Linked DNA regions of Tamandua tetradactyla. The protein of the gene in region 3 purifies or fractionates together with the protein of the main gene of each other region. This does not show direct contact. Links are inferred from orthologs where the notes say so. Each region holds a gene or a part of one and is shown on either strand. Other genes may lie near its edges.

Region 1 (7,985 bases), on a different chromosome or scaffold from region 3:
GCCCTGGAGCTACATGGCACACACTGGCTTTGAAAGTGCCCTCAATCTGCTCAGTCGTCTCAGCAGCCTCAAGTTCAGCCTCCCTGTAGACCTGGCAGTGCGCCAGCTCAAGAACATCAAAGATGCCTTTTGATGAAAATGTCCTGGCCCAAGACCAGTGCCTCACTCAGCAGGAGTAGATATGTTAGTCTTCTAGGATGGGAGCAAAGAATGGGAGGAGGGGTTAAAGAAATGTTTCCTAGATCCTGCTTTAGGTGGCCAAACAAATGACTGCAAAGTCTGTTTTTCCCACCAATTTAGCATCTCACAAAGATGTGCTAGAGGCTCACTTGTTAAAAGATTCTGCCCTGGTATATGACCACAGTATACAAGTGGGTGCATATGTTTGAGCCTATGTAAAAGAAATCAGTCATAGCACCCAGCTAATCCACCAATCTGTCATGCCCTGTGTAGTTTTTGGAAAACTCACATTGCTCTAACCATTCTGTTAATGCCAGTGAGTGACAACATGAGTGAGTTGTTGGTCCTGGAAAACATTCAGCTTGAGGCTCCTGTTCGTCAAGTTGGGAACCATTTTTCCTTCACCCAAAGCAGGTTTGAGAGTACTAGGGCCAGAGTTTAAATTCATTTAATAAATATTGGCCCTTCCTTACTGATCCCAGTATGGGGGTAGGCTATGTCTTTTCCATTGCTGCCTCTAAAACTAGGGATGAGAATATTTCTGAGGGAGTTAAGCATAAGTTAGTTTTAATATGTACCCTTTTTCTGGTAGTGATAAAAAATCTGTTTATGACAAAGTAGTCCTCTTCTCACAGCACAGACTGTGGTCTTTTTGTTGTGTTGAAGCTGAGTTGTTTTAAGAGGAATGAGAACCAATGTCTGCTAATATGTCCTCTGGCAAGTAAGCTTTTCTCTATGTATCTTCCAGCAAGACTGACACAGTCTTTTCAGAAGTAAAGTATTTGAGATCTCCTTCTTGAGAGAATCCTTGCCACCCAGTTGAATGTATACAGGAATCGATATTAATAACCAGCAGCAATTCCTCTCTGGGTTGTGACTCACACAGGCCACTTGTCCTGGAAGCTAGATGATGGATTGCTTCTCTCCCTCAGATAATGGCACAGGGTTTATTCACAAGTCAAGTTGGGCTGGCTTCCAGTCCATTCCCACAGTGGGAATAGGTACTAAGCAGATTGTTGTTTACAGGCAGGGCTGATAATTCCACAGTAAACTGACTCTAAGGTAGTCCTATTTGTTCTTCAGTATTTTAGCCTTTGTAGTTCCTACTTGTCCACATGTTTGTGATAGGTACTACTCCAGAACTGTCAAAAAACGGGAAAATAATGTGTTAATTTCTAGAAACCAAATAGGCTCCAAACACTACTGATTCAGCATTGTTTTCATGTATTAAATTGCCAGCTCCACTTTCTGTCTGCACTATTGTGTAGTGCATTTTAACTTAATTTTTTTTTTCAGCAACATGTTACTTATTTAAGAGGCATTATTGATATTTGGTTAGAATGAGTTCACCTTCTGTGCAAAACAAAGGAAATGTAAAATGTGAAAGAAAGTGTATCCGTGGTTACTAATAAAATCAGTATTTTCTGTAACTTCTCTGCAAAGACCCTAGAGACCCTCTGCTTTGGTTAAGGCTACTTTGCTATCATTCCACCTGATTCCTTGAGAGCTGTCTGGCTCCTGGCCTTTCTGCTCTTCTGCCCTCTACCCTGAATCAGCTCAGCTTTGGTTTTCCATTTTTCTTTAATATTTTCTCACTAAAAACTGCCCTTGGCATTATCACCCCCTCTCACCCAGGCCTACAGTCCCATCCCCACACCACATCTCACCACAATTAATATTTTGGGAACTGGCCCTTCTCTGTTTGTCTGTAAATAATTTAGAGTGGATGATAACTGATAAAGACATATGACATAGCTTAGGACCATCTCAGTGTTGTCTTTTTTAATCCTCACAAAAAAAGTAACTTGTATTAACTTGTATAATAAAAATCTGCTGGCCTCACAAGATGCATTTGTGTGTGTGTTTCTTAATTTAATCTTCACTACTTGTAAGGCATTATCCTTATTTTACAGCTGAAGAAAGTGAAGCACAGAGAGGTTAAATATTTTATCCTGGTTTACATGGTAGAAAAGCTGGAACCTAAGTTGTCTGGCTCCAAAGCCTATCACATGGTCTCATTGTATTGTGTTGCTTCTAGATCTCTTGTTCCCTTTTATCCCTCTCCCGTTCCCTCACTCCACCATTAGTTTTTGGAGGAGAAGGTGTTCTCCACATACTTGCTGGAAATTTCAGATGCCAGAGGACTAGGTTGCAGGGAGATAGATAGACAGTCATTGCCTTGTCTAGTTCTCCATGAAACCTATGTGTAGACTCAGGCAATCCAGCTGACATCACAGTCACAGATATCTGCTGGTCACTGATATCATCAGTGTCAGGGCTGAGGACGGGGCTCTATCCTTGGCTTGGAGTGAGGCAGATGGGACAAGGGAGGAGAGGAAGGACAGTCAGCCCAGATCTGTAAGGCTAAGCAGGAACGGAATGAAAAAGACCCAGCATATGTATTCAGTGAAAGTGCTGGGTCTTTGGGAAAACAAAGCAAATGTATTCGTTGTAGAACAAATTTGATCTGCAAAGCCAGACTGCATTCATTCAGTCTACACTTACTGAGTGTCCTCTCAACAGCTTGGGCCAGACTAGGTACTGAGGATGGAGATAATTCAAACATACTTCTTGCCCTCAAGGAACAAGAAATTTTGGAAAGGAGACACCAAAAAAAGTTGGAAGTTTGGGTGGCTTTTTAAAACTCAGATGGCTGGATTCCATTCCCAGAGTTTCTGATTGAGCGGTCTTGGATAGGGCCTGAGAATTTGCATTTCTTACAAGTTTCCAGGTGATGCTGATGCTGTTTGTCTAGGAACCATACTTTGAGAACCACTGATCAAAACAAAATGAATATATGTTCTATAATAAAGGTAAGTGTAGACTGCAGAGAAAGCACTGAGGAGAGAGATTAATTCTGCCTTGGAGAGTTCAGGAATGGCTTTGAAGGATGGGTAGAATTTGGACAGGATTACAAAGTCACATGGACCAGGCTGAATAAAGACCCCAGGGCTCAAAAGAGATTTAGCTGGTTGGAGCCCAGGGGTTGTCTTAAGGGTTTAAGAGGAGTCATAGGAACTTATACTGAAGGATAGATAGGTGGGAGTGAGAATTCAAACTTTGGAAGCAAGAAAGCCATTAAAGGATTTTAACAGATAAGTGGTGGACTTAAAGATGTGTTTAAAGCAGTTTCTCAAAAGATCATCATATAGCTCCACTTCCAGACCTGAAGTCAGAATCTCTTGTCATGGAGATGCACCTTCAACAAACATTCCAGGCAATTTTGATCCACACTAAAATGTAGGAAGGTATTGGAGAAGAGAAACAATGAGGCCAGGAGGTTAGTTAGGGAGAAGGTGGGAAGGGATAGAGAAGGGTAGATTTAAAAGTCACAGGGCAAAATTCACAGAATTTGACTTGGAAGGTGGTTTGTGGAAAGGGTCCAAAGTGATTACAAGGTATCAGGGTTTGGTTCCTATTTCCGAAGGGAAAAAGCAAAAAGAGAGGAGAAAAAAAAACAAAGTACAAAAGGGGCAAAAGCAGATAAGGAGGCTAAGAGAAGACCAAAAACATGGAAATGGACAGGGTACTGTGGTGTAGTGGGAAGAGCACCAGCACAAGAGTGGGGAGACCTTGCTCTGTGACACAAACTGACTTTGTTTTTCTAGAGTTGTCCTCATCTTTCATGATCTCCGAGGTCCCTTCCAACTTCAAAATTTCATATTCCAAATTAAAGCAGAAAATATTTTAATTGGATATAAAAATACAACTACATAATTAGAGTTATAAACCATTGGAATGGGATCCTGAGGGCTGCTGGCAATTTTGGTCCCTGGAGAGCCTCAAGAACAGAAGTGATGAAACCCTTTATCCTGACTGTTTCGACATCTTGCCCCAAAACCAATTCGGTAGGTTCCTCAATGTTCAGAAGAGTAAAACCTTAGGAAGGGTTCTCCTTGTCTTGAATTCCAGCCAGTGAACGGTACCATCTAAAAATGCTCTTCCATTGAGTGATGGGAAATAATAGTTTGAGAGCCAACTAAACCTGGTTTCTAGACCTAGATGTGAATCCCATCTACACCACTCATCAGGTTCAATCCCAGAGAAGTAATTTATCCTTTCGGAATCTCAGTTTCCTTATCTTCAAATGGGAGGAAAATACCCGAGATGCAGAGCTGTGAGGATTAAATGGGCTGTCAACTTAAATAAAACGCCTAGCCCGCTGCCTGGCAGAATAAGTACCCAATATGGTGACATGATAAAAAGCATGGACTCAGGAAATGGAATGCTTTAACTGAGTCCCAGATCTACTGCTTACTAGCTATGGTTACTTAATTTCCCGAAACCTCAATTTCTTCAATGTAGAATGGAAATAATAACCTATCTCCTAGTGTTGTTATGAGGCTCAGACGAGATAATGTAGGTGAATAGAATAACTCTGCCTACCTAGCATGGAGTCAGCAGGTCTTCACCTCCCTCACTAATTCTCTTAGCTAATTAATGTTATGACATCACTAGACGTAAAATCATTCAATTGATCTTTGTCTCTCCCTCCTTATGCCTAAGAGTCCACACAGTAGGCATCGATAAACGTCCCATTTTGTTCTCTGCATCTTCTAAGGCAAAACAGTCGAGTGGAGACGTGTCTCCCTCCTAGCGCGAGAGAAGGGAACTACAACAGAGGGCAACCGAGCTGCTGAGTTACAATATCGCGCGCGCACACGCCTTGCTTGCTCTTCTATCAGTACGCCAGCCATACAAAACTTACGTCGTTGTCTATTGCCGGAGCAGCTAATAAAGTTTGATTCAGGCCTTGCTACCTCCTCTTGAACTTCCGTCCGCAAGGCGGAGTCTGAACGCTGTACAAGTACCGCCGAGAGACCTAAGGGGCGGTACCGGATGTGAGGTCACACGGCCTCCGGGTGAAAGGTCGGCGGAAATAGGGTTCTTTTCTTTCTGCCATAGGCCGTAGTGGTTGCTGTTGGTGAGTGGAGTACTGGGTAGGGGCTTCCAATCTGCCGCCATCCACGACTTGGGGGTTGGATTGCCGGGCGACGCCGTCTGTGTTCTGTTCCGCGGCCTCCGGCGGCTTTGTAGTGAATCCAATACAGCGAGGAGGGCCCGCGGGCGGCCGCAGGAGCAGCCTGAGCTTGAGCACAGTAGTCGTCTCAGACGGATTTGGCCCACTGCGTTTCATAACCATCCCTTCCCCTTATTCTCCGCAGAAATGGGCAAGTTTATGAAGCCCGGGAAGGTGGTGCTGGTGCTGGCCGGACGCTACTCCGGACGCAAAGCCGTCATCGTGAAGGTACCAGCCTTGCGGGCCTCTACGCCCGCACATCTCGGGAACCGGTCAGGATTCCGAGAGCGAGCAGGCTTGGGACTTAAGCCCTAGTTCTGGGGCTAGGAACATTACGATGAGGGGATTGAGTGCAGGGGAAGTTTTGTGGGAGGAAGATGCAAATGAAAACAAATGTGGGAGTTGTACTCCTAACATAATGCAACCTCCACCAACGAGACTTTGAATAAATAATAGTGACCATCTTTTACTGAACTCTTGCAAGGTGCCTAACACTGCGTTACAGGTGCTGTCTTACTCAGTCCTTACAGCAACAATAAGGGCTTCTTTCTATTGCTGCTGAGATTTAGAGATATTGGGTATTTTGCTTAGGTCAAACCGATCCTTAGTGCTGCAGTTGGGATTCTGTAAAAAAAAGTAGAGTTTGCTTTTAGTCAAAATGATCATTTAGCTTCATCGTTTGCCTTTACCCACATTTTGTAGGCTTTTGCCACATATCCCTAGACTCTGGCCACAGCTATTTGTTATTGTTGGGACACCTAGGCAGCCCTGTTGCCCCTACTCCATCTTCCTGAGACTGATCTTCCTGGGGATAAAGAGGTACAGGGTAGGATAGTAGTGCCAGTCCTGACGGTACCCTTTAAAGCAGTATGTCCATGAAGAAGGTTAATGGATTTTGCTTGGCATGTTACAAGTACTCTATAAATCTCTTACATCCCAAAAGCCTTTCCATGTCTCTTACTGATAGGAATGAATACCTCTCCCCTCACTTCATTCAATTTAGCATAGCACTCAATATGGTCTGCTTTGTATAATTTTCTCCCCTTACATAGTGGAGACCCAGGGATAGAGGTGTTCTTTTTACATAGGCCCTCAATTAATACCAAATGTAATTCTTCCTCATTTAGAACATTGATGATGGCACCTCGGACCGCCCCTACAGCCATGCTCTAGTGGCTGGAATTGACCGTTACCCCCGCAAAGTGACAGCTGCTATGGGCAAGAAGAAAATCGCCAAGAGGTCAAAGATCAAGTCTTTTGTGAAAGTTTATAACTACAATCACCTCATGCCTACAAGGTGAGCATTTCAGAATGGGAATAAAAATGACTGATTTCTTTTCTTCCTTTCTGCCCTGCTAAATCTGGAGACACCCTTGCACTCTTGGTGGGGGGAAAGACTTGTCACTCTTTACCTTATAAAATAGCCATAGTTCTCAGTCTTTTTTTTTTTTTTAATTGTGCTATATAACAAAATTTCCTTTTTAACCACTTTTTAAGTGTACATGTTAGTGGTGTTGATTATGTTCACAATGTTATGCTATTGTCACCACCATCACCGAGACTCTTTCATGACTCCAGTCTTACCTCTTTCATGGCACCTTGTAACTGTATTTCCCATGAATCCCTAGTTAGTCTATGAAGACTCCTGACTTGGCCTGGAAGGATTGAAAAAATCTCAAGCTTGCTCTTTCGTATCTCTTTCTTACTCCCCCACTCACCTGTAAATGCTTTTGATGTTAGTTAAAAATTGCTTCATTTATTTACATCTGCAGTAACTAAACACAGGCATAGGGTCTGGTCTGCCTTCTTCCCTGTTCCACCCTCATAAGTTTTCAAAACTGGTTGGTGAATGAGTGAAAGAAAGCCTCTTGGATTAGTTTCACTCAATTGTGGGCTTTTTAATTGCTGACCCTTCACAGTATTATAGTGTGCAGCACTTAGACTATCTTGGTATAAAGATTATAAAGAAGTATAAGATCTTGGGAGAGTCCTGGTCGGTAAGGGTCAAAACCTAGCAGCACATGCCTTAAAGTTTGCTATCGGCTGCATGTTAATTCTGCACTTGACTTGCTGATCTAAAATGATAATGCATTTTAGCAGGTGCTAGCCGCCTGGCTTTTGCATTTTCACAGTGAAATTCTGGGTGGCTTTGCACACGTAGAATTTGAACAACACTAAGGAAAATGGCCCCAAATAGAAATAATTGCTATGGTGAAAGCAAAGAGGTCTAATAAAGTGAGGGTTCTTAGCTTAGAAAATTGAGAGGGAAAGCAAAGATTTTCTGTGGCTTGAATCCATGTAAAAGAGTCCATTAAATTTTGAGTTTCCAAAGAATGTCGTCAGGATTTTGGCACAGCTTTTGGTGATTGTTCCTGTGGAGTGCAACCCTGAAACTCCAATATACGAGGAGGACTTAGAAGCAGTCTGAAGGTCCTGGCAGCATGTGGACTGATCCTACCTCCCTGCCATTTATCTTTTGGCCATCCATTCAGGTACTCTGTGGATATCCCCTTGGACAAAACCGTCGTCAACAAGGACGTCTTCAGAGATCCTGCTCTTAAACGCAAGGCCCGGCGCGAGGCCAAGGTCAAGTTCGAGGAGAGGTAAGTAGGCTTTGGTGATGAATGTTGAGGTATGGTTTCACTGTTCCCTATGAAGGGAATTCCATCTCCCTGTTCCTTTCCTCATTGTTGTCCTTTTTTTCCTTCTAGATACAAGACGGGCAAAAATAAGTGGTTCTTCCAGAAGCTGCGGTTTTAGATATTTTTTGTTTCAATCATTAAAA
Region 2 (7,275 bases), about 78 Mb from region 3:
GATTCCTCAGAATGGTTTATTCCTCTCCAGCAACATCTCCATTCCCATTCCCTTTATTGCTTTTAAAGTTTTCTTCCTCAGGTATCAGACCCAGGTCAAGTAGTAGTCATCAAATTAAAGCACTCAGTATCAGGAACTCCCTTAGCTATAATTTGTAAAAAAAAAAAAAAAATTGTGGACATTGCACAGCTTAGAGGAATTATAATACTGTAAGGCATTTTGTGCTGGAATTTTAAATTAGCTCAAACTACATTCCAGTAAATTCTGGGAACACAGAGGTTGAAAAGATCTAAAAGAGATGCCAGGGCAATTTAGAGGATGACAAGGGTTCACTAGAAGGAGGGTAACTGCAGTTCACCTTGGGGTCTCAGATTAAGATAACCACGACTTCTTCAACTAAATTGGTATTCCCAACAATAGCTGCATTACAAATGCCATTCCTATGTTTTCAAAACAGTTGTGTCAACCAAGATAAGGGAGAGTTCAGGGTTGTATATACAGACAAAATGCACGTTTGCTTAAGACATTCCTGACTTTAATGACAAAAGGATACCCTGCCACACAGACTCTAGAATCTGGACCTACAGGAGTACTGCAGGTGTTGTACAAGGTGGAAGGGGTGGAAAAACGGATGGAGAGAATCATGACAGAAGTAGATTGTCAGAAAACAGAGCCAGTATTTTCACATTTTATTAGTTACAGTATAGATCCTAGAGCTGCCTCACTCCCTCCCCTCCCCTCCCCCCCACCAAGAGGTCAGGCCTTCTCAGGAGCCCCTGCCTTTGCTGCCTGGGCCCGCTGGAACTCCTGCTGCAGCTGAGCAAGCGTCTCCCTCTGTTGCTCTGACTGCCGCTCAAGGTCTCGGAGTTGGGATTCATATCGTTTACTGAGGGAGACAAAGGAAACTAAGATCAGAAAATGAGAAATTAGTGGGACTTAGTAGCGATGGTGCTGAAGGCAAGAAAGAGATTGGTGGAAAAGCTGAGAACTAGGGGAGGAGCGGGATGAGAAAATTGGACAACTGGGCACCTCTATGGAAAGCTGCTCTACAGTGTTTCCAAAACAACTCTACTCTAATGGTACTGGTTACATTACAGGGAAGTGAAGCAAAGACTCACATTTCAGCGGTAATATAGTCCAGCCTCTTCCCTACTGTGGCTTGGGCCTCCCCGAGCTCTTGTTTGACCAACACAGGACCAAGAAGTTTAAAGACCACGTTGGATCCATCCAGCAGGGCCAGTTCCTGAAGGAGTGGACATATACCATCAGAACCACCGTCAGAACAGGTCCCTCCTCACCCCACAAAATCCCAAGCCCTCACCTCCTTCACGATATTATTTTCTGTCAGCTGTGCCTCAAGTTTCTGTCGCCCTGACATGGACTTACTCAAGTCTGAGGGGTGGGGTGGGAGGAAAGATGTGATTAGAGACATCAAATGTGTTACCCGCCCCCCACAACCAAAATCAGAAGAGAACAGACGAAGTAGACAAGGATGGGAGCCGTGGGTCAGCGGGTGGAGGATAGTAATGAGGTAGGGAAGAGGCTGCACGCGGGGCCCGGTGGGACAGAAGACTTTACCTTCATTATGGCTTTGGGTTGTGGGTGAGTGAAGGGATTGGGGCGGGGCCACACCAACCCTGCTCCCTTACCCTTCTGTAGCTGTTGATATTTCTCCACTTCTCCCTGTAGTTTCTTTTGGATCAGCTCAGCCATAGCTGGGTCGAAGACCTGAGGGGAGCAGGAGAGGGGCACTAGGTTTCACACGCCGAAAGGCACCCGAGCTCCCCTTGCTGGCCTGGTCGGAGGAAACTACAGCACTTTTGAGAGACAGCCCGCCGGGAAACCGCAGTTTCTCCCGGTTGGGATATCGGTTCTACCCAGGCCCCGGGGCAGGGGCTATGGAGAGATGAGAGCCCCAAACCCCTCAGCCCAAGCCCTGCCCTACTCACGTTCTCCCTTCAGTATTACTAAACCCGGAAGTAATTGTGGCAACCCGCGTCAAGAGCGTGCCGGAAGTGGCCTTCTGATTCAAGCCGGGAAATGTAGTCCTGACACGTTTAACGCTAGCGCACTCCTAAAAAGTCCGCACTCGGAAGGATTTGGAAAAGATGGGAAAACAAAGCCTGGAAACCAAACTACACCGTTACTTCGGCTCTGGCCCTGGATTTGGCTCTTTTTCTTTCGCAAGGGCATCATTACTCTGGCAAAAGCCGCTGTTCTGGAAGGCGGTGCCAAGGCCTGCCCCGCCCATCAGGAGAAAGGGCGCCCTCTTTCAACATGGCGCCGAGAGGGCCTCAGACCTGACGCGGCCCTGATTGGGTGAAGGCCAGAGGACTTCCGGGAGTTTCTAAGCCTACAGTGGGACGGCTGAACCGAGTTTGCACGTGGGTCATCAACATTGTGGTCTTGATGGAGACGGCCCCCAAGCCGGGTGGGGATGTTCCGCCCAACAAGAACAAAATTCAGGTCCAGAAGAAGGTAGAGACCCCCTTGGGGCGGGAAGGAAAGTGTTTAATTGCGGGGTGATGGAGGGGATGGAGGGGGCGGGTCGGGGAAGCGGGCAGCGGAGCCTTAGGGCCTCTGATCTGCCGGCAGAAACCTCGGCGATACTGGGAGGGAGAAGACGTGGCTTCGACTACTGCCGGAGTTTCTCCAGGGCCCCCTCGTCGCAAGAAGAGAAAGAGGGATCTCCGCCCCCAGAAGCCAAAGAAGACTCATATTCTAAAGAAGTCTCGGGTCACCAAGAAGCCTCGGGTTCGGAGGAATCCGGAGCCTGAACGGAGCTTGTCTGGGGTGAGACTGAGGCCTGATAGGGTGGCAGGGCAAGGCATCTTGTGCCTTGAGAGTGCGAAGGTTGAGGTCAACTCGAGCTTGTTAGCTAGTCTCCTCCTTTTTACTCCAGGCCCAGGACCCATTCCCAGGCCCTTCTCCCGTCCCTGTGGAAGCGACCCAGAAGTTCCGTCGTATTGACAGATCCAAAAAGGTGAGACTTAGCCGGGGAGTGGGGAGGGGTTGGAGACAGGGAGGTTGGATGGAGGTGGGGCCAGGTGATTCTCCTGTGACCCCCTCCACATGTCCACTATTTTTTTGCCCCCAACCCTTGCTCTCCCAATGATATAGTTACTACATGCTAAATCCAAAACCCGAAACAGACTTGAGGTCGCTGAAGCTGAAGAAGAGGAAGCAAGTGTCAGAGCTGCTCGTTCTGAGCTGCTGCTTGCTGAGGAGCCTGGGTGAGTAGACCCTGATCTGGGCATTCCCAGCCCTTGCTTTATGGGGCTCCTCTTTCTCATTTCTATGTGGGTATGTCCGCTTCATCTTAAGAAGATTTTTTTTGCAATAACCCTTTTTGCAGGTTTCTGGAAGGGGAAGATGGAGAAGACACGGCCAAGATACGTCAGGCTGACATTGTGGAGGCTGTGGACATTGCCAGTGCAGCCAAGGTTAGCCTGAGCCTGGGGCAGGGGCCACAAAACTGATTGGTTGTTCAGAGCAAGAGGGATATGAGAAATAGAAGAGGGAGTTGATGAAATGAGCTAGTTCTCTGTTGACTTTTTATTTTATTTTATTTTATTTTTTAACTCTTCCTCTTTGCAGCACTTTGACTTGAATCTGCGGCAGTTTGGACCCTATAGGCTGAACTACTCTCGAACTGGGAGGTAATGTTGAATTCCAGGGACTCTTGAACTGAGATGTGGTAGTGTCTGCTAAACTGCAGTTGTGCCCACCTCAGCAAACAATCCAGTGTATGTTGGGGTTGTTGATGAAGGGAGGATCCTGTGATTTGCCTAGATATGAGTGGACCCTCTTGAACAACATCTGTCCTCTCACTTGGAGAGGAAGAGCTGGCCTGGGGGCAGACCTCGAATTGTCTGAGTCACAGTGTTTTCCTACACTGACACCCTGCCTGTTCCCCATTTCTAATAGACACTTGGCTTTCGGAGGTCGTCGGGGTCATGTGGCTGCCCTTGACTGGGTGACAAAGAAGCTCATGTGTGAGATCAATGTCATGGAGGCTGTGCGGGACATCCGGTTAGTGACCTCCTATAAGTGCTTATGGGGACTGAGACACCCCATCCCTCTAAAAAGTTTTTTAAAACATTTTTTACTGTAAAATATACAATAATTATAAAAAAAGCCATAATTTTCAAAGCACGTTTTAACTTTGAAGAACAGATTTCAAAGTTTGGTATAGGTTGCAATTCCCCATTTTCAGGTTTTTCCTTCTAGCTGCTTTAAAACACTGGAAGCTAAAATAAATATCATTATAGTGACTCAGCAATCGTACTCATTGTTAAAGCCTATCTTTTCTGTTATAACTCTTTCTCTCCCTTGATCTTTCTCCCAATGTTTAGGGGTATTTGGGCTATGCCCATTCTAACTTTTTCATGTGGGAAGGGGCTGTTGATAATATGGGAGGGGGATGGAACTAGTTGACATTCTGGAAGGCTGACCCCTCTGGGTTTCAGGACTTATCTGGCCTACGAACCCTCTAGTCCTAAGTGTTCTTTAGGGTTAATAGGAATGATGTTTGTTGGGGTATGGCAGACCATGACAATGAGCACTATCTCACTGAGGCTTACATAAGCGTAGCCTCCAGAATAGCCTCTTGACTCCATTTGAACTCTCTTAGCCATTGATGCCTTATTTTGTTAAATTTCTTTTTCCTCTTTTAGTCCAGAAGGCATTGTCAATCCCTCAGTGCCAGAGCCCCATTCCTTTTTTAATGACAGTCTGTGATCTGTTTTCCCACTGAATCACCTATCAGATTTTTGCACTCGGAGGCACTGCTTGCTGTTGCTCAGAACCGCTGGCTTCACATCTATGATAACCAGGGCATCGAGCTCCACTGCATCCGCCGCTGTGACCGCGTCACACGGCTTGAGTTCCTGCCCTTCCACTTCCTACTGGCCACAGCTGTGAGTGGCTGGAGCATAAGAACCGGGTTGGCAGCCCTTGACAGGATCCTGCCCCATTTGGGACTGGGGTTGGGGGAAGACAGAGCGCAATCAGGACCAGTTATTCTTTCTCTCTTTTACAGTCAGAAACAGGGTTTCTGACCTACCTGGATGTGTCAGTGGGGAAGATAGTGGCAGCTTTAAATGCTCGGGCTGGACGGCTTGACATCATGACTCAGAACCCTTACAATGCCATCATTCATCTTGGACACAGCAATGGTCAGTCCGTGGCTTAGCTTTGACTCTGGCTATTCTCACTTGTTTTTCTTCTGTATTTATACTTGACAAGTCCCTTAACTTGTACTTTTACCTTTTTGTCTTGTACTTCTTGGTTTGAGTATCCACTTTTCCTAGATTTAATAACCTCAGCGCCTCACCTGTAACTTTAGCTGTGCTCCTGTGACTTTCAGGTACTGTGTCCTTATGGAGTCCAGCCATGAAGGAACCACTGGCTAAGATTCTTTGTCACCGTGGTGGGGTCCGGGCTGTGACAGTAGATTCTACAGGCACGTAAGTCACTTGTTTGGGGATGAAATACTGGGGTCACAGATGGGGTCATGGGTAAGGAAGTGAATGTGCCTTTTTAGCACAGACCCTGCAGACAGATTGCTTGGGTTTAATTCCTGGTGTTACCACTTGCAGCATGTTACTGCGGGTACAGAAAAGCGAACTTCAGAAAGGGCCAGATGGTAAATATTTTTTTAAAATTTTTTTTATTTTTAATTTAATTTTTTTTTACATGGGCAGGCACCGGGAATTGAACCGGGTCCTCTGGCATGGCAGGCAAGCATTCTTGCCTGCTGAGCCACCGTGACCCACCCCAGATGGTAAATATTTTATGTTTTGTAGGTTAGTAGGCAAAATTGAGAGTAATATGCAGAAATTTAAATAATAAGAAAGAAAAGAAATTGTGACAAATTTTCAAGCAATGGAATACAAGATATGATAATCACTTAACCTTTGTAATACAGGTTGTTTAGTTTGCTAGGTGCTGAAATGCAATTACCAGAAACAGAATGGCTTTTAAAAGGGGGAGTTTAATAAGTTGTTAGTTTACAATTCTAAGGCTGTGGAAATGTCCAAATTAAAGCAAATCTATAAGAATGTCCAAATTAAGGTGCCAAAAAGAGGTTGCCTTCACTCAAGAAAGGCCAATGAAGTTCAGGGTTTCCCTTTCAACTGGAAAGTCACATGGCAAAAATGGTGATGTCTGCTAGCTTTCTCTCCAGGCTTCTTGTTTCATGAAGCTCCCCTAGGGGTGTTTTCCTATATCTCCAGAGGTCTCTGGCTACCTGGGCTCTTGACCTTGTGGCTCTCTCAAGACTCTGTCTCTCTTTCCAAAAGGCTTCCTCTTTTTCCCCCTCATTTTTTTTTTTAATTTGATTATTTGTTTTTTTATTGTTGAGTTGTAAGAATTCTTTATAAATTCTGTATACAAGTCTCTTACCAGATTTACAAATATTTTCTCCCATTCCATGGGTCGTCTTTTTACTTTCTTTTTTTTTAAATTTTTTAAACTTGTTTTTTATTTATGATACATAACCACATACAGACACAAACATTCTTATATGATCATTCAGTTCTTGTTATATAATCAGTAACTCACACTGTCATCACATAGTTGTATAATCATCATCATGATCATTTCTTAGAACATCTGTATCAATTCAGAAAAAGAAATAAAAATAAAACAAAAAAATTAATGCATACCCTACCCCTTATCTCTCCCCTTCACTGATCACCAGCATTTCAATCTGCTAAATTTATTTTAACATTTGTTCCCCCTATTATTTATTTATTTTTAATCCATATGTTTTAATTGTCCATCAATAAGGTAGACAAAAGGAGCATCAGACGCAAGGCTCTCATAACCACACAATCACACTGCGACAGCCATATCATCATGCAATTATCTTCAAGAAACGTGGCCACTAGAGCATAGCTCCACATTTTCAGGCAGTTCCCTCCAGCCTCTCCATTACATCTTGACTAACAAGGTGATATCTATTTAATGCATAAGAATAACCTCCAGGATAACCTCTCGACTCATTTGGAATCTCTCAGCCACTGATACTTTATTTTGTCTCATTTAGCTCTTCTTCCTTTTGGTTGAGAAGATTTTCTCAATCCCTTGATGCTGAGTTCCAACTCATTCTAGGATTTCTGTCCCATGTTGCCAGGAAGGTCCACACCCCTGGTTGTCATGTCCCACGTAGAGATGGGGAGGGCAGTGAGTTTGCTTGTTGTGTCGACCGAGAGAGGCCACATCTGAGCAATGGAAGAGGTTCTCTTGGGGGTGATTCTTAGGCCTAATTTT
Region 3 (7,941 bases):
TTTTGATTGTCACACCTGGGTGGGTTGGGGGGCGGTTTGTCCTACCTGCATCTAGTGGGTGGAGGCCAGGGATTCTACCAAACATCTACAATGCCCACCACCCCCACCCCTTGCCTCTACAGCAAAGAATTATCTGGCCCAGAAAGCCGAGGCTAAGAAACCCTGGTCCAAAGTGAGCTCCCCTTTGCCAGAGGAAGTTGCCAATGGCCATGCAATGCACACTCCAGATCCGGGGACAGCTTGCTGCTTTCCTGACTGCGGAGTGAGTCATTTTGTGAAGCTCAGGAACATTTAGCAAGGCGGTATTGGTCAAATTAGCAAATCATCCTAATTTGTCCGTTGGGTAAGTAGAGCTGGAAGGGTGTTTGGGGCCTTCACAAAGAGAGACTCGCCCAACGCCAACGAAGACTCATGAGGACCGAAGATGGTTCAAGAGATTTCGAAAGAACCCATCTAAATGTCCCTCCTCCGAGAAGGATTCTGGGAACATCTGAACTCCTGGCCCAAAGAATTCAATTTCCCTCATCCCTAAAAACGCGACTCCTCAGTTTGATGAAAGGAGGTGTGAAGTCAGATAAATCCGAGCCCTGTCCTTCCCTAGCTGGGGTTACAAATAATCTCCTCTTTCCCAGCCTAACTCCTAAAATGGGGTGAGGATGAGCGTCAAGATTCTGCAGGAAAAGCCGTGAGCACAGAAACTGTCACATAGCAAGCACTCAGTAAATGTCAACTATCGCCGTCAGCATTGTCACCATTATTTTTACCAAGTCCCCAAGCACGTGGGAAGGTAAATTCTCACAATGACCTTCTGAGATGGGTGATGTCATTCTCACTTTGCAGATGAGGAAACTGAGGCTCAGAGTGATAAAGCCGCACCTGTCAGCGGCCTTCTCCCTGGTCTCAGGGCTCCCACTCCTGCCCACCTACAGTCCATTCTCCCCTCAGCAACTGAAGAGATCTTTAGAAAATGAAATCAGATCTTATTTAGGTGAAGATGCTTTCAGAGTTCTGATGCTACCTGATATGTCATGATCTAACCTTTCTTTATGATTTCGGTATCATGGAAAAAAAGAGTAATGTTATGGTTATATAAGATGAAACACTAGGAGAAACTGAGTCAAGGGTATTAGGGACCTCTCTGTATCATCTTTGTGATGTTTCTGTAAATAAAAAATTATTCCAAAATATAAAGCGTCTTTAAAAATATAAAATCAGATCATGTTACTCCTTGACCCAAAATCCTGCAGTGACTTCCCATTAGGCTTAGAATAAAATTTGAATGACTTTCCGTGGCCTATAAAGCCATGAACCAGCTGGCCACCTCTCCGACCTCACCTCCTAATACTCTCTTCCTCACTCTACACTCCAGCTGCTCTGGTCTTCTTTCCATTCCTCCAACACGGGAAACTTATTCCTGCCCCAGGACCTTTGCATTCGCGGTTCCCTCTGCTGGGGATGCTCTTCCCCGTTGCAGGTCTCCCCATGACTTCCTCCTTCTCATCCTTCAGGTCTTATTCAAATGTCACCCCCTCAGAGTCCCTCTCCCTATGTGGTCACATGAGCCCTTCTAATTTCCTCATAGCAATTTACCACTCTCAGAAATTATCTTCTTTGATTGAGTTATCTGTTCCTTTCCATCTTTTCCACCAGATTGGAAGTTCAACGAGGCAAGGACTGTCTGGTTTGCTTACTACTGTGTCCCCAGCTTCTCGCAGAAGGCCTGGAGCCTTGTAAAGCCTCAATAAACATTTTCCAAAAGAATAAGTGACTTCTGGTAATTTCACAGGACATTGAAATAAAGCTGCAGGCTTTACCAGAAAGCTTCCATTCACTGCAGCCCCCACACATGCTTGTCTGCCTTGTGCCATATTTTGGAAGGATTTGAATTCACAACCATCTTTTACAAATTGAAACATTTCACATAAAAATCCATATATCCAAGATCCTTTGGAAAAAAAAAAATCAGAGAATCTGGCCATACTGGGCTCATTATGTTCCCCATGGACTGGAGCTGGGAAATGGACACCCCCTAGCTGGGGAGTGGGCTCTGCAATTCATAAAAGTCACTACTCAGCCAACGTAATTCTTTCGCGCTGTCGGCCTGGTCCCCGTAGGCTTCGGATCCCCCTCAAACTCTAAAGGGTCCTGAGAGATACTACTGGTTTTCAAATATTTTAGACATAGCCCCTCTTTCCAAATCTCAATGGAAGCTCAATGTATTAGATAAAAGTAAGGATAATTAATATTGATTGCATACTTACTGTGGGTTATGCCTCTACTTTGCTGGACTCAAGGGGTTGGAAACAGAACCCGTTAGCTCCCACCCTCCTCAGTAGCTCTCTAAGAAAGTTCTGTAGATCCAAGGAAGGCAGTACAAAAAGAAGTAACATTTAACCCACTCTCCTCATTTTACAGATTGGCAAACTGAGGCCTAGAGGAGGAAGGCACCCTTCAGTAAATGGCAACACCCTTTCAGGTGAAATGAATGTGTCTGCCTCGTCCTTAGGGAGACCACCAGCATTGATTATTGCAGAAACAGGCCAATAAGGAATCGGTTCTTTCCTCTGTGAGCGGTTTGCCGATTCCCAGGATCTGTTCACACTTAGCCGTGTGAGCTCGCTCTCAGGCTCTGAGTCGGCTAATTCCTTTAGGCATGTGCCAGCGAAACTGGACTCTGGAGGGGAGTTGCCCAAACTTACAGTGGCATGTGGACAGAGGCACAGCCTATGTCCCAGCCCAGACCCAAGTCCTCCTCCAGAACTGATGATGTCAGTGGAGGTTAACACACCTTCCATTTTGCAGCTGGAAAATTACGGCACTCTTACTGTGGGAAGATACATGCGTGGGTTGCTCCATTGGGTTCTGCGTTTATGAAGTGTTTGGTGTGCGCCAGGATTGTGTCAGGGGCTGGGAATTCACAATGGGGATTTATTGAATATGAACGCTTTTGCTCTCAGGCTCTCCTGAGGTTCCAGCCTCTGACTTACTAGCTGTGTGACCTTCAGCAAGTGACCTAGTCTCTCTGTGCCTCAGTTCAGCTGTAAAATGGGGATGGGTAGGGATAGTACACAACACGTAGGATTGTCTTGGGGATTCAATGAGATAATGTTTTGGCACAAATGAAGAAAGTGAGTGCAGTGTTTGTTTTTTTTCTGCCGCACTTATCAGAAGCTGATATTTTTATTTGAGTCTTTGTTGATTTACTGTCTGGCTGGCTTACTAGCTGACTGTCCACGAGAGAAGGAGCTTGTCTGTTTTGCTTCCCGGCCTAGAACTATGCTTGGCCAGAGTACATGTTCTGTAAATATCTGTTTGCTGAATGAATCGCAGTCTTTCATATTCCTGCTGTAATTGCCTTGGCAATGACATGCCCTGCCCACCGCGGAGCTCAAGGTCTCGTGGACTCCTGTGTGAGCCATCACAGCAGTGCTGGGCACCCGTCAGAATGTCACCGACTGGGCTCGGTGCCCTGGGCTTACAAATGACACTTGTGTGGCTTTTGGTGGCCAGAGCCTCAGCACGGGGGAGTGAGCTGGCGACTCGGGAGAGTGGAGTTAGCGGTTGTGCAGAGCCGGCTGGACACCAGCTCCTCCACTCCAGCGGCGACAGGGGCGCAAGCCAGGACGCAGGGGGCCTGCCTGGGCCCCTTGGAGGGCGCTGCTTCCGAAGATGAATGCCCGCAGCGTAATCACCTTGCTAGTATTTAGGGATGGGGATTCGGGCACCCTGCATGCCTCGAGAAACAAACTGAATTTCTCTGTGGGAGCAAAGGGCCTTGCAAACTTACTGTAGGGCGCAGCAGGAGAAGAACGGATTACTGGGAAAGATCAGAAAAGAGAGCACCTCCAAACCCAGCTAAAGGCGATGCGCAACCCTCGGAAGCCGCACACTTTCTGCCCCGCCCTGAAGAGGGATGCCCGCTGGGGAGGCTGGGAAGCCCGAGGAAATGGACCAAAGTTTCCCGGGGTGTCCGCAGAATTCGAGACCTCCCCCCGCACTACCAGCCTCTGCCAACTCGTTCTTCCGGCCAAAAACTCAGAAATCTACACATTCTCCCTTTATCTTCTGCAAACTTGGCTCTGATTAGATTGAGGGTTACCGTTCCGATGATACTATAACTTCCCGAGTTTCAAAAAGATTATCTAAAGATAGAGAGGATGGATATTTTCTTTGGAGGATGACTTTTTTTTTTTCTGAATTGCACGGCCAGGTACCGGGAATCGAACCCTGGTCTCCAGCATGGCAGGCGAGAACTCTGCCACTGAGCCACCACCCTGTGAGCCACCGTCCCAGGATGACTTTTTAAGCTTTTTTCTTTTTTAATGTAAAAACTCACAGAAGTGACACACAAAATATACAGATACGCACATTTCCATACCTTAGAATAAACAACAATATTTTGACTTATCTGGGAAAGGGTTTTTAAAGCAACCAGACAAACCTCTCCTTTCTCCTCTCAATCCCAGAAAATTTGAATGCAAAAGAAGTCTACCTACTTCTCTTTAATAATCTCCCTTTCCACTCCCAAACCAGATTTATTTTAAAGGGCAAATTCCAGGAGCCCTTGAAATGCCTAGTCGGTCTTCCACATGCCAGGTCTGAAAACATCTGGCCTCAAAGAACTTGATCCGACGAAGGCCGAAGTCGCTAGGGCGCATATCTGGACCGTCCCCTCCAGCCCCAATTCCCGCGTGCAACTTTACAACTCCCGCTCCGGCCAGAAGGGCCTATTTGCTCGGCCCGCTTGGCGGAAGGATCCCGTGCGCTCGCAAGTTACGCTCAACCGTCTCCTGCCCCTACCCGCGCTCTGGCTCCGCCCCCTTTCCAGCGTCCGGACTCCGCCCCCTTCGGCGCGCCCTATGGCCCGTAAAGAAGTCCCGGCCGGGCCGCTGCACTCCCCCGCTCGCATCCGTGCGCCGCCCGAGGCTGGCTAAGCAGTCATCGGCCATTTTGTTCTTCTCGTGGTTCCAGCGGGGAGAGAAGGAGGAAGCAGGGAGCGGGGCGGCTGGGGGGGGACCCGCCGCGGCTGCTGCCACCGCCGCCACCACCGTCTGTGTGCTCGTGGCGTGGGAAAGGAGGTGTGGGTCCCGAGCGCGAGCCGGCGGTGGCGCCGCTGCGGGAGGGTCGGCGGCGGGAAGGCGATGGCGGATATAGATAAACTCAACATCGACAGCATCATCCAACGGCTGCTGGAAGGTGAGGGGGGCGGCGGGCGGGCTGAGGGGAGCTGGGCCCAGGGGCGGCAGGCGGCCCCGGGGCTCGCGGGAGGGGAGTTGGGAAGCCGGTTGGGCTTGCGGCGGTGAGGGGAGCGAGCCCGCAAGTTGGCCCGCGGGGCCAGGGGCTGCCGCCGGCCGGAGGGAGGCCGGGCCGGGTCCCGAACCTGACCCAGCCCGCGGCCTCTCCCGGCCCGGCTCATTCGTTACACGAGGCTGCAGCCTTCCTCCTGCCTGTAAAATTTGAAAATTCCGCCGCCTACCCCCACGTTTCCCACCCATACTCTCTCCTCCCCCATCCCCCCCTCTCCCCCCGGCAAACTGGACGACGGGTCTTGGGAGAGGAGATTGGGGGGGCTCGGTTCAACCTGCAGGACGGCGTGTACCGTGCTTTATTCTGGCCAGGATCGAGTTTCTGGTACTTTTTCTCAAAAAGCAATTTATTAGGGGAGTTGGTTTCATCGGGTTTGGGGGCTTTATTCATATCTTGCTTTCTTTTTTGTGTGTGTGGACTGGGGTCGGGGTTCCATTTCTTCATACTTGGTAGTGAACGCTCATTATCTGAAGGGGACGTAAGAATTCATCTCTCCCTAACCCCCAGATAACCTTTTAAGTTATCCTTCCTTATCTTCGATAGGGCTCCGCGCCCTTTTTCATGAGCGTGCTTGTGAACTTGAAATCAGCGATGACTGTGTCATTATCTTTCCAGTGTACCAGGGTCTGGGTCCAGCGCTTTGCGTTCTTCAGATTCTAACAATAATAATAGCCAACACTTCTAAGGACTTCACTATGTGTCTGGCATCCCTTTACAGATTTAATTTCATTCTCATAACCTTATGGGGTAGGTGCTATTATTTTTCCCGTTGTACATACGAAACTTAAGACACAGAGAGGTGAAGTCATTTGTCCAAGGTCACACAGGTAGTGACAGGTTTCAAAGCCAGGAGCCAGAACTCTCTACATTTCAACTCTCATCCTATAGATGACCCAATGTGTAAAGGAAAATGGAAGTGTCCCATGGTTAAGAAAAGGTTAAGTTAAAGCTTTCGTGTTGGCGGACCTAAGACTTGTGAGGTGCCTGGCAATTGATTCTTATTGATATGGAAAGCGGTGAGCTTCAGATTTTAAAGAGGGAGGCCACATAGAACTACGTGGGTATTCCAGAGCATATCTCCTAATACAAACATCTTTCCCAGACTTTGGAAGAGTTCAAGTAATTCTCATTCTTGATTTAGGCACTAAATCGTGTAGATTTGTCTGAGTTTTAACTGCTTTTTGCCTTTATGCTGTCCTAAAATATTGTTGGAATTTAAATGTGTGATAGAGGAGAGTATGAACAGTTGGGCACCTCTGGTGTTAGAATTTGCAGAACTTTTGAAGTAAATCATTAAAATGAAACTCCTAAAAAACTCTTCCTTTTCTTAAATCAGTGCCTTTTTTTTTCTTTTGCAGTACTTTCTAGCTTTCTTAAAAGAACAACCCACAGAATATGTATAAGAAACCCTGAAGTGCTGTTAATGACACTGCCATTTGCAGGTGAAATCCTTGTCATTCAGTTCCTGGGATTTATTATAAGAAACACAGGCTATAAAAAATATTCAAATGCTTTCCGTACTAGTCAGTACAGTTCTTTGATTTCTGTGTAGCAGTACTCTGTTAGAAACTGATTAAAACTTTTGCAGTGGGAAAGAAACTTTTATTAAATATTTTCATTTAAAATCTTAAATTAACTATACTTCTGTACAGGAATATATATATGTATTTAGGTCTCAACTGAAGTTCTGGTTTTGCCCATAATTGTCTCTGTAGTCACATAACAGGCTTTGTTAATTTAATCTTGTTGCCTTGATGAGCTTGGCTCATGTAAAATGAGATCAATCACTGTTTCTTAATAATCCCTCTTAATGCGTTATGCTGTACTTGAAAACCAGATTTTGAAATTTTCATTTTTCACTACAAATAATAGAATAAAGCAGTGCATTTTAATTCCTTGGGAATACTGTAGCTGCACAACATAGTTAAATTCTTGTCTCATGGATGTTAGATTGGCAGGGAAACAGTTGAAGAGGATTCCTTGAGGATAAGTATCCATCAAAGTTGAGAGATTCAATAAAGTTATTGAATTTTGTAATGCCCCAAAAGCCTTTTTCAAGCCTAAAAAATTTAATTAGATTAAATAAATCTGAAAATGGAGAGAAAAGGAGTTTTGTGACATTGTTAGACATTTTTTATGTGTTCAGAGTGTCTGATCTTTATGGTCAAGGACTGTACAAGCTATCAGTGTAAGTCCTTGGTTAGCACTGAAAAGACAACTCAAACTTAAGTCCAGTTTAAGAAAAACAGAATGCTGGTTTAGACCTTACTCACTAGCTTCGCAGTTCTTTTTCTACTATAAATGTTTAGTTTTTCCTTAAGCTGAAGTATCACTTCTGTGTCCCACCTCAGAAATTTTATCCAAGGAAGCTCTGCCTTCCTGTTGATAGATAAATTATTCAAGTTATTTCCTAGTATGACTGAGGTTCACTTATATAAATACTACACAATAAAACTTGGGGGATTTAGAGAGAAAAGAAATCAGTATTCGGATATTGTACATTGGAGAAAGGTCAGTTTTGAGGGCAGACTTATTTTGTAAGCGACCCCATTCAAGGGTCAGTGATGGCTAGCGCTTTTCTTGCACAGCAAGTGGTTGTAACTTACTTCACATTGTAGTTTGCAAAAGCATCTT
Region 4 (7,996 bases), on a different chromosome or scaffold from region 3:
CGATGTCCTCACCTCTGTCTTTGCCTCAGTGTTTTCAGCTGTGCAATGAGGGGGTTGGACAGGAAGACCTCTAGGGAACCTCTGGCTCTGATGGGCAGCACTTTCCATCAGCCTGCCTCCTCTGGCACGTTCTCCCAGATCCCACAGCCCTTACTGATTTCCTTTCTGGCACACAAAAACACTTCTTTCCCGAGCTGGTACTTCGTGTCTGGCTGCACATAGTTTTCCAGCTCCCGTGGGTCCAGGTCTGCTGCGTGGGCTTTAGGCCCAACTCAAGGGCTCAAGGAACACTGGCCAAACCGAATAGAAAATGATTTCTGCCTTCTTCCCATCTTGTGGATGGATGACAGGGGATTTTTTTATTCACCCCCATTTTGTAAATTGGAAACTGAAGATATCAGAGGTTAAAAAAATAAGCCACAGGAGTTCCGGGCCAAGATGGCGGCTTAGCAATGTGCGCGTTTTAGTTCGTCCTCCAGAACAACTACTAAATAACTAGAAACAGTGCAGAACAGCTCCTGGGGCCACATCAGTGACCAGACACACAGCATACCCCAGTCTGGACCAGCTGGACCGGCTGCGAGCCCCCCCAGAACCGTGAGTTCCCCAAGCCGTGGTGGCCGGCACCCCTCCCTCACAGGCTGCTTCCCAGAGGGAAAAGGAAAGAGACTTTACCAGCAGCAGGGGCTGAGCCCAACCAAACACGAATTGTGGCATTAATTAATAAATTCTGACTACTAATAATAGGCCCACAGCTCAGGTGAACCTGGTCAAAGCAGAGGTCGCTCATTTTTGCCCTGGTGCCAAGGGGGCAGGGCTGACCGAAAAAGAAAAAAAAAAAAGGAAACAGAGGTTTTTGTGGCTGTGTATCTACAAAAGCTTGACTGCCTTTGGATATAGCAGCAGGACTTCTCAGGCTGCAACTGCCCCAGCCATAGGCAGAAGTGAGCTCTTTTGGGGGCTTGTCTGGAGCCTGTGCCTTCCCCAGGGGAGGGGTGAAGCCCAACTCAGGTGGAATCCCTCCCTCAAGGAATTCAGACACCAGGGCTTGGTAATTTGAAGCCATTAAAACCAGACTCCAACCTCTCCTCTGTCTCCACCACGTCCCCAGCCAAAGTTAAAGGTACTGCATCATCTAATGGTGGTGGGACCTGCAGGCAGACAAGCATCACATACTGGGCAGGATAAGAAAAACAGAGCCCAGAGACTTCACAGAAAAGTCTTTCAACCTGCTGGGTCTCATCCTCAGGGAAAACCGATGCAGGTGACTCTTTCCTCCTGATAGGAGGCCAGTTTGGTCTGGGAAAATCCACTTGGGGTCTATAATACCTACAAAAACCCTCCTGGGGTAGGGGGGGAGGCACCATACAAGCAGGGCAAGAAACAAGAAAACAAGAACTGAAAAATTCTCCTCTTTTAAACAAAACCTAAGCTAGAGGTCCAGAAAAAGCTGAATTGAATGTCAAAGAACAGAGAGACAACAAATTCATCCAGCAAGAAAACCCTAGGTAAAAGAAGTGAAAGCAATCTCCAGAATAAACTAATTAAGGTAATTAAATGCTTAGATGCCAGCAAAAAATAACAAATCACACTAGGAAAATTGAAGATATGGCCCAGTCAAAGGAACAAACCAACAATTCAAAGGACATACAGGAGCTGACACAATTAATTCAGAATATACGAACAGACATGGAAAACCTCATCAAAAACCAAATCAATGAATTGAGGGAGGATATAAAGAAGGCAAGGAATGAACAAAAAGAAGAAATCAAAAGTCTGAAAAAACAAATCACAGAGCTTATGGGAATGAAAGGCACAGTAGAAGAGATGGAAAAAAAACAATGGAAACCTACAATGGTAGATTTCAAGAGGCAGAACATAGGATTAGTGAACTGGAGGATGGAACATCTGAAATCCGACAAGAAAAAGTAAATATAGGTAAAAAATGGAAAAATATGAGCAGGGACTCAGGGAATTGAAGGGCAATATGAAGCACACAAATATACGTGTTGTGGGTATCCCAGAAGGAGAAAAGAAGGGAAAAGGAGGAGAAAAACTAATGGAGGAAATTATCACTGAAAATTTCCCAACTCTTATGAAAGACTTAAAATTACAGATCCAAGAAGTGCAGCGTACCCCAAAGAGAATAGATCCAAATAGATGTACTCCAAGACACTTACAAATCAGAATGTCAGAGGTCAAAGAGAAAGAGAGAATCTTGAAAGCAGCAAGAGAAAAGCAATCCATCACATACAAGGGAAGCCCAATAAGACTATGCACAGATCTCTCAACAGAAACCATGGAGGTGAGAAGACAGTGGGATGATATATTTTAATTATTAAAAGAGAAAAACTGCCAACCAAGAATTCTATATTCAGAAAAATTGTCCTTCAAAAATGAGGGAGAAATTAAAACATTCTCAGACAAAAAGTCACTGAGAGAATTTGTGACCAAGAGACCAGCTCTGCAAGAAATACTAAAGGGAGCACTAGAGACAGATACGAAGACAGAAGAGAGAGGTGTGGAGAAGAGTGTGGTAAGAAAGACTATGAGTAAAGGTAAAAAGAAGGAAGATTAGATAGGACATATAAATCCAGAAGGCAAAATAGTAGAAGAAAGTACTACCTGTGCAGTAATAACACTAAATGTTAATGGATTAAACTCCCCAATCAAAAGACATAGACTGGCAGAACGGATTAAAAAACAGGACCCATCTATATGCTGTCTCTACTCAAAGGACACGAGGCCAAGGACACAAACAGACATTTACACACCAATGTTTATAGCAGCATTATTAACAATTACCAAGAGATGGAAACAGCCAAAATGTCCATCAACAGACAGGTGGCTAAACAAACTGTGGTATATACATACGATGGAATATTATGCAGCTGTAAGACAGAATAAAGTTATGAAGTATGTAACAACATGGATGCACCTTAAGGACATAATGCTGAGTGTGATTAGCCAGAAACAAAAGGACAAATACTGTATGGTCTCACTGATATGATCTGACATGATGAATAAACTTGGAGAATTTAATTGGTAACAGAGACCATCAGGAGATAGAAATAGGGTAAGATATTGGGTAATTGGAGCTGAAGGGATACAGATTGTGCAACAGGACTGAATGTAAAAACTCAGAAATGGACAGCACAATACTACCTAACTGTAATACAATTATGTTAAAACACTGAATGAAGCTGTATGTGAGAATGATAGAGAGAGGAGGGCTGGGAGCATAAATGAAATCACAAAGAAAGATAGATGATAAAGATTGAGATGGTATAATCTAGGAATGCCTAGAGTGTATAATGATAGTGACTAAATGTACAAATACTAAAAAATGTTTTTGCATGAGGAAGAACAAAGGAATGTCATTACTGCAGTGTGCTGAAAATAGATGGTAATTAATATTTTAAAATTTCAACTTATGTGTGAGACTAAAGCAAAAAATGTTTATTTGGTACAAAATTTATATTTTGACTAGTGCATTTCCTAATATAACTTATGTAGATAGCTTGGTTGAACAACATAAGTACATGGAACCTTGGGTAGGACATGAGATTTTGTTGGTTTGTCTATAGTGATGCCCTGATGAATCCCAGAGTGATTTGATCAGTGAGCGGGAAAGTATTTGCAAAGTCCCCTTTGGGGAATGGTGAGAACAGGGGAAAATTCAATCTCCTCAAGTTGAATTCTTGATATTCTCACAAGCAGTGTGGACAACCAAAGCTATCAGCTGAGCCCCCAGTCTTGGGGTTTGTTCATATGAAACTTAACCCCACAAAGGATAGGTCAAGCCTACTTAAAATTAGGCTTAAGAGTCACCCCCAAGAGAACCTCTTTTGTTGCTCAGATGTGGCCTCTCTCTCCAGCCAACACAACAAGCAAACTCACCACCCTCCCCCTGTCTACATGGGACATGACTCCCAGGGGTGTGGACCTTCCTGGCAACGTGAGACAGAAATCCTGGAATGAGCTGAGACTCAGCATCAAGGGATTGAGAAAAACCCTAGAATGAGCTGAGACCCAGCATCGAGGGATTGGTAAAACCCTCTCCACCAAAAGGGGGAAGAATGAAATGAGACAAAGTGTCAATGGCTGAGAGATTCCAAACAGAACAGAGAAGTTATCCTGGAGGTTGTTCTTCTGCATTAAGTAGATATCACCTTGTTATCCAAGAGGAAATGGAGAGGCTGGCGGGAACCACCTGAAAATGTAGAGCTGTGTTCCAGTAGCCATGTTTCTTGATGATGATTGTATAATGATATAGCTTTCCCAATGTGACTGTGTGATTGTGAAAACCTTGTGTCTGATATCTACCTTGTCGACAGATGAGTAGAACATATGGAATAAAAATAAATAATAAGGGGAACAAATGTTAAAATAAATTTGGTTTGAAATGCTAGTGATCAATGAAAGGGAGGGGTAAGGGGTATGGTATGTATAATTTTTTTTGTTTTTATTTTTCTGTTGTCTTTTTATTTCTTTTTCTGAATTGATGCAAATGTTCTAAGAAATGATCATGATGATGAATATGCAACTATGTGATGATATTGTTAATTACTGATTATATATGTAGAATGGAATGATCACACACACAAAAAAGCCACAATGCCACTCGGGGTTCCTTGGTGTTGCTCAAACAGGAGAAGAATGATTCACGTTTCTCTGAAGCCCTTATCATTGCCTGCCGTAGCATATAATTTTTGTCGGCGGCGTTTCCAAGGAGGATGAAGTTCCATGAGGGAAAGGGCTTCGTTTTGTTCACTGCTCACCCAGAATACCAGTATCTGCCACTAAAGGACGCACTTAAGAAATATCTGAAAAGAGAGAAACGGGGTCAACACCCAGCTGCGAAAGGCACTCAAGGAGCCTACGAGGCGAGCTCCAGCCCCGCCCCCACGTGATGCCCCGCCCCGCACTAGCAAGCGGGCCTACGCGCTGACGCGCGTGCGCAGAAGCGAGCCTGCGCAGGAGCCTGCGCACCGGCGACCCTCCTTTCATTGCGCCTGCGCGCTGGAAGGCCTGTCTGAGGGATCCTTAGGCCGCACATTCCGAACGGAGCCAGAAGGAGTTCACAGCTGCGTTGCTGCGGACCTGGAGATGGCGGGCGCCGTGCTGTCACCGGAGGCGGAGCGGGTGTTGCAGTACCTGGTCGAGGTGGAGGAGCTCGCCGAGGAAGTGATGGCGGACAAGCGGCAGGTGGGAGGCCCGTCCGTGGCGTTGGGACCTGGGGGAGATAATTGGGGCCTGGCGGCGAGCGCCGTATACAGAGCCGTGTGGGGCCGGCATCTAGCTCTACCACGGGTTCGCTGTGAGTTGACCTGGACTGGTGATCTAGGGTGCCCCACACCAGTCAAGGCCTTAAGGAGAGACGAGGAACAGAAGAGAGGCTTGAGTGGCCTTCTGACAAAGGGCCCTGTGGACCTGCTTAGGGAGTTCGTAAGCGGTGGGGGTAGGTCGCAACTGGATTTAGGTTTTAAAAGGAGCCCTCTGGCTGCAGTGAATATAGAATATATGGAATATAGAGGGGCAAAGGTGGAGGCAGGAAGAAGCGAGGGACCATTGCTATGGTCCAGGCAGAGGTGGGTTTGGACCAGAGTGCTGGTGATGGAGAGAAGTGAAAGGGTGGGAAATATAAATTGGAGATGGACTCAGTAGGACAGGATGGTGTTTACATATAGAGGTGAGTGAATGGGAGGCAGGGCCAAAATGACATGAGTCTCTCTCATCTCCCTTTAGAATGATTGGATGGTTGGCCATTATTTACTGAGAAGAGGAAGACTTGGGGAAGAGCCTGATAAATTAAATACTGTATCACCATGTGGATGATAATAGCAGAAGTTAAAGTTTATTAAGGGCCTACTATATATCAGGCACTGTACTAACTAACTCATTTAGTTCCTGGTTCAGTAACCTGTGAGGTTGGTACTTTCACATCTCCGTTTTTCAGAGAAGGAAACAGCACTGGTAGGGAACAGCAGGATTCAAATCCAGGTATTCTGGCTCCAGAGCCAGTGGTCACAAGCAGCCTTCTGTACTGCCTCCTCGCTTCTGTAGCAGCTCTTATGCTGTTACCGTCTCAGTGCCTCCACCCCTGTTGTCCAAGTCTGGCATTGTTGGATTTTTGCATGTTAGGTCAGAGTCAGCTATTAGAGCTTGTTCAAAAGTAGATTCTTGGACCTGCTTCATCCTAGTGTCTAGGAGACAGGTTTGTGCATGAGCATTTTAAACATGTTCCCCTAGTGATTCTGACATACAGTTTGAGAGCTGATGTTCCAGTGGATGGTACAAATTATCCATTTAGTCAGCAGACATTTCCCAGCAACTTCTCAGGGGAAGATATGTGCTTACAGTATTGTCTTTAAGAACCGGGAAGCTGAGTGGGAGAAGAAACATGTTCACACATCAGTATCACACAGGTTGTTGAAAGAAACCAAGGAATGACGTCTTACCATCTCTCTAGCCCCTGGTCTGTTGGGACGTGACAGGGTTGGAACAAGAGGTGGCTAAGTAGCCCCTTGCCCCTGCTTTTTAGATTGTGGACCTGGATACTAAAAGGAATCAGAACCGCGAAGCCCTGAGGGCCCTGCAGAAGGATCTTAGCGTCTCTGGTAAGTTGCAGTTTCCTCATTGTGGTCCTGGAGGTCAGTTCGGTTTTCCTTGTAAGGTCCTTGCCTTATCCATGATAGAGACCAGGCAGGAGGCCACAGACATATGATTCTTCAGCTTTATGGGGAATTAATACAGGCCGTGAGGATAGGGGAGAAAATGTTACAGGGTCTGACACAGACTGGAGCTCGGGATTTCAGCTGCTTTTCTTAGTGACAAGCTGTTGGCTCCTGACTCAGTGATGGCAGACACTCCCAGAAGTGCTGGGAACGTATTAAAATGATGTGGTTCCTGCCTTTGTGCACTAACACGTGAGTAAAACCACATAAAATACACAATAGACAATTGTGAGAAAGTAAAGAAAGGAATTGGACATGGGTTAGATGTTGAGAAAATCCGCAAGGGATTGAGGGTTAAAGAGATTGGGTTAGAGTGGCTGTGGTAGAATAAGCAAGGGGAAAGGGACATGAGATGAGAGACTAGACAGATGGGCGGAGGCCAGCTGTAACGAAGGGTGTTGGGGCCAAGGGAAGAAGTTTGAGTTTTGTTTAAAGTGCAGCAGAAAGTATAAAACCTTCTAGTTGTGCCTCATAAAAGTAAAGTCTAGAGTCCTGCAAGGCCTCACATAGTCCAGCCCCCAAGATCTAACATCATCTCTACACTCCCCCTCACTCATTGACTCCAACCATACTAGACTCCCTGCTGTTCCTGTTCCCTTTGCAGGTTCACTCTTCCCCCGTATGTGTGCAGGGCTCACACCCTCACTTCCTTTGGGTCTCTGGCCAGATATCACATAATCAGTGAGGCCTTCTCAGACCACACAGTATAAGTATCAAGTCCCTTCTCTACTCTGGCATTTCCTATACCTCTTACCCCGCTTCATTTTTTTCTACAGCACTTATAAGAGCCTTTTCTTTTTCCTTCACTATGACATAAGCTATTTGAGGACAAGAATGTTGTCAGGTTCTCCTGTTTTTAGCATGTAAAAAACATGGCAGGTAGTAGGTGCTCAAAAAATACTTGTTGAAGAAATGACCATTTGCCATTTCAGAAGATGTGATGGTTTGCTTCGGGAGTATGTTTATCAAGATGTCTCACCCTCAGACGAAAGAAATGATTGAGAAAGGTAAGATGTCCTGGGGATGGGTCAGGAACATAGCTGCCCTCCTGTCAGTCTTGGTTGTAGCCCAGAATTGAAGAGTCAGGCTCTGGGCAGCTTAATGGGAGGCAGCTGTGTTACAGGTTCAGCCTGATATAGGTTGCCTTTTTAAAAAACTTTTTAAACTTTTCATTTTGAAAAACTTTCAAACTTACAGGAAAATTACAAAATTAACATAAACCCCATACAGAGTACATCATACCACCACCCTCTTAGATT

What was found.
Region 1: the proteins of PPP1CC (region 3) and RPL27 purify together in Homo sapiens (affinity purification with mass spectrometry; 3 studies listed by BioGRID and IntAct, with this or other methods). This does not show direct contact. The link is inferred for Tamandua tetradactyla from reciprocal best matches to the Homo sapiens genes PPP1CC and RPL27.
Region 2: the proteins of PPP1CC (region 3) and PFDN6 purify together in Homo sapiens (affinity purification with mass spectrometry; 4 studies listed by BioGRID and IntAct, with this or other methods). This does not show direct contact. The link is inferred for Tamandua tetradactyla from reciprocal best matches to the Homo sapiens genes PPP1CC and PFDN6.
Region 4: the proteins of PPP1CC (region 3) and PDRG1 purify together in Homo sapiens (affinity purification with mass spectrometry; 6 studies listed by BioGRID and IntAct, counting the BioPlex papers as one, with this or other methods). This does not show direct contact. The link is inferred for Tamandua tetradactyla from reciprocal best matches to the Homo sapiens genes PPP1CC and PDRG1.

The regions. Positions count from the first base shown.
Region 1 is NC_135332.1:24,233,463-24,241,447, reverse strand, and holds the start of RPL27 (large ribosomal subunit protein eL27), read left to right. Parts: upstream 1-4,981; 5' UTR 4,982-5,104; intron 5,105-5,345; 5' UTR 5,346-5,347; coding exon 5,348-5,428; intron 5,429-6,327; coding exon 6,328-6,497; intron 6,498-7,692; coding exon 7,693-7,803; intron 7,804-7,911; coding exon 7,912-7,960; 3' UTR 7,961-7,985. Other genes in the region: RUNDC1 (RUN domain-containing protein 1), read left to right, coding at 1-133.
Region 2 is NC_135331.1:89,218,721-89,225,995, reverse strand, and holds PFDN6 (prefoldin subunit 6), read right to left. Parts: upstream 2,267-7,275; 5' UTR 1,950-2,266; intron 1,729-1,949; 5' UTR 1,714-1,728; coding exon 1,650-1,713; intron 1,393-1,649; coding exon 1,322-1,392; intron 1,244-1,321; coding exon 1,119-1,243; intron 887-1,118; coding exon 757-886; 3' UTR 504-756; downstream 1-503. Other genes in the region: WDR46 (WD repeat-containing protein 46), read left to right, coding at 2,410-2,478, 2,596-2,793, 2,903-2,983, 3,121-3,233, 3,356-3,443, 3,598-3,659, 3,928-4,032, 4,769-4,919 and 2 more. UniProt on the Homo sapiens protein: Binds specifically to cytosolic chaperonin (c-CPN) and transfers target proteins to it. Binds to nascent polypeptide chain and promotes folding in an environment in which there are many competing pathways for nonnative proteins.
Region 3 is NC_135331.1:11,472,287-11,480,227, reverse strand, and holds the start of PPP1CC (serine/threonine-protein phosphatase PP1-gamma catalytic subunit), read left to right. Parts: upstream 1-4,926; 5' UTR 4,927-5,141; coding exon 5,142-5,196; intron 5,197-6,715; exon of another isoform or gene 6,716-6,730; coding exon of another isoform or gene 6,731-6,749; intron 6,750-7,941. UniProt on the Homo sapiens protein: Protein phosphatase that associates with over 200 regulatory proteins to form highly specific holoenzymes which dephosphorylate hundreds of biological targets.
Region 4 is NC_135327.1:21,175,912-21,183,907, forward strand, and holds the start of PDRG1 (p53 and DNA damage-regulated protein 1), read left to right. Parts: upstream 1-4,982; 5' UTR 4,983-5,109; coding exon 5,110-5,208; intron 5,209-6,544; coding exon 6,545-6,620; intron 6,621-7,669; coding exon 7,670-7,744; intron 7,745-7,996. UniProt on the Homo sapiens protein: May play a role in chaperone-mediated protein folding.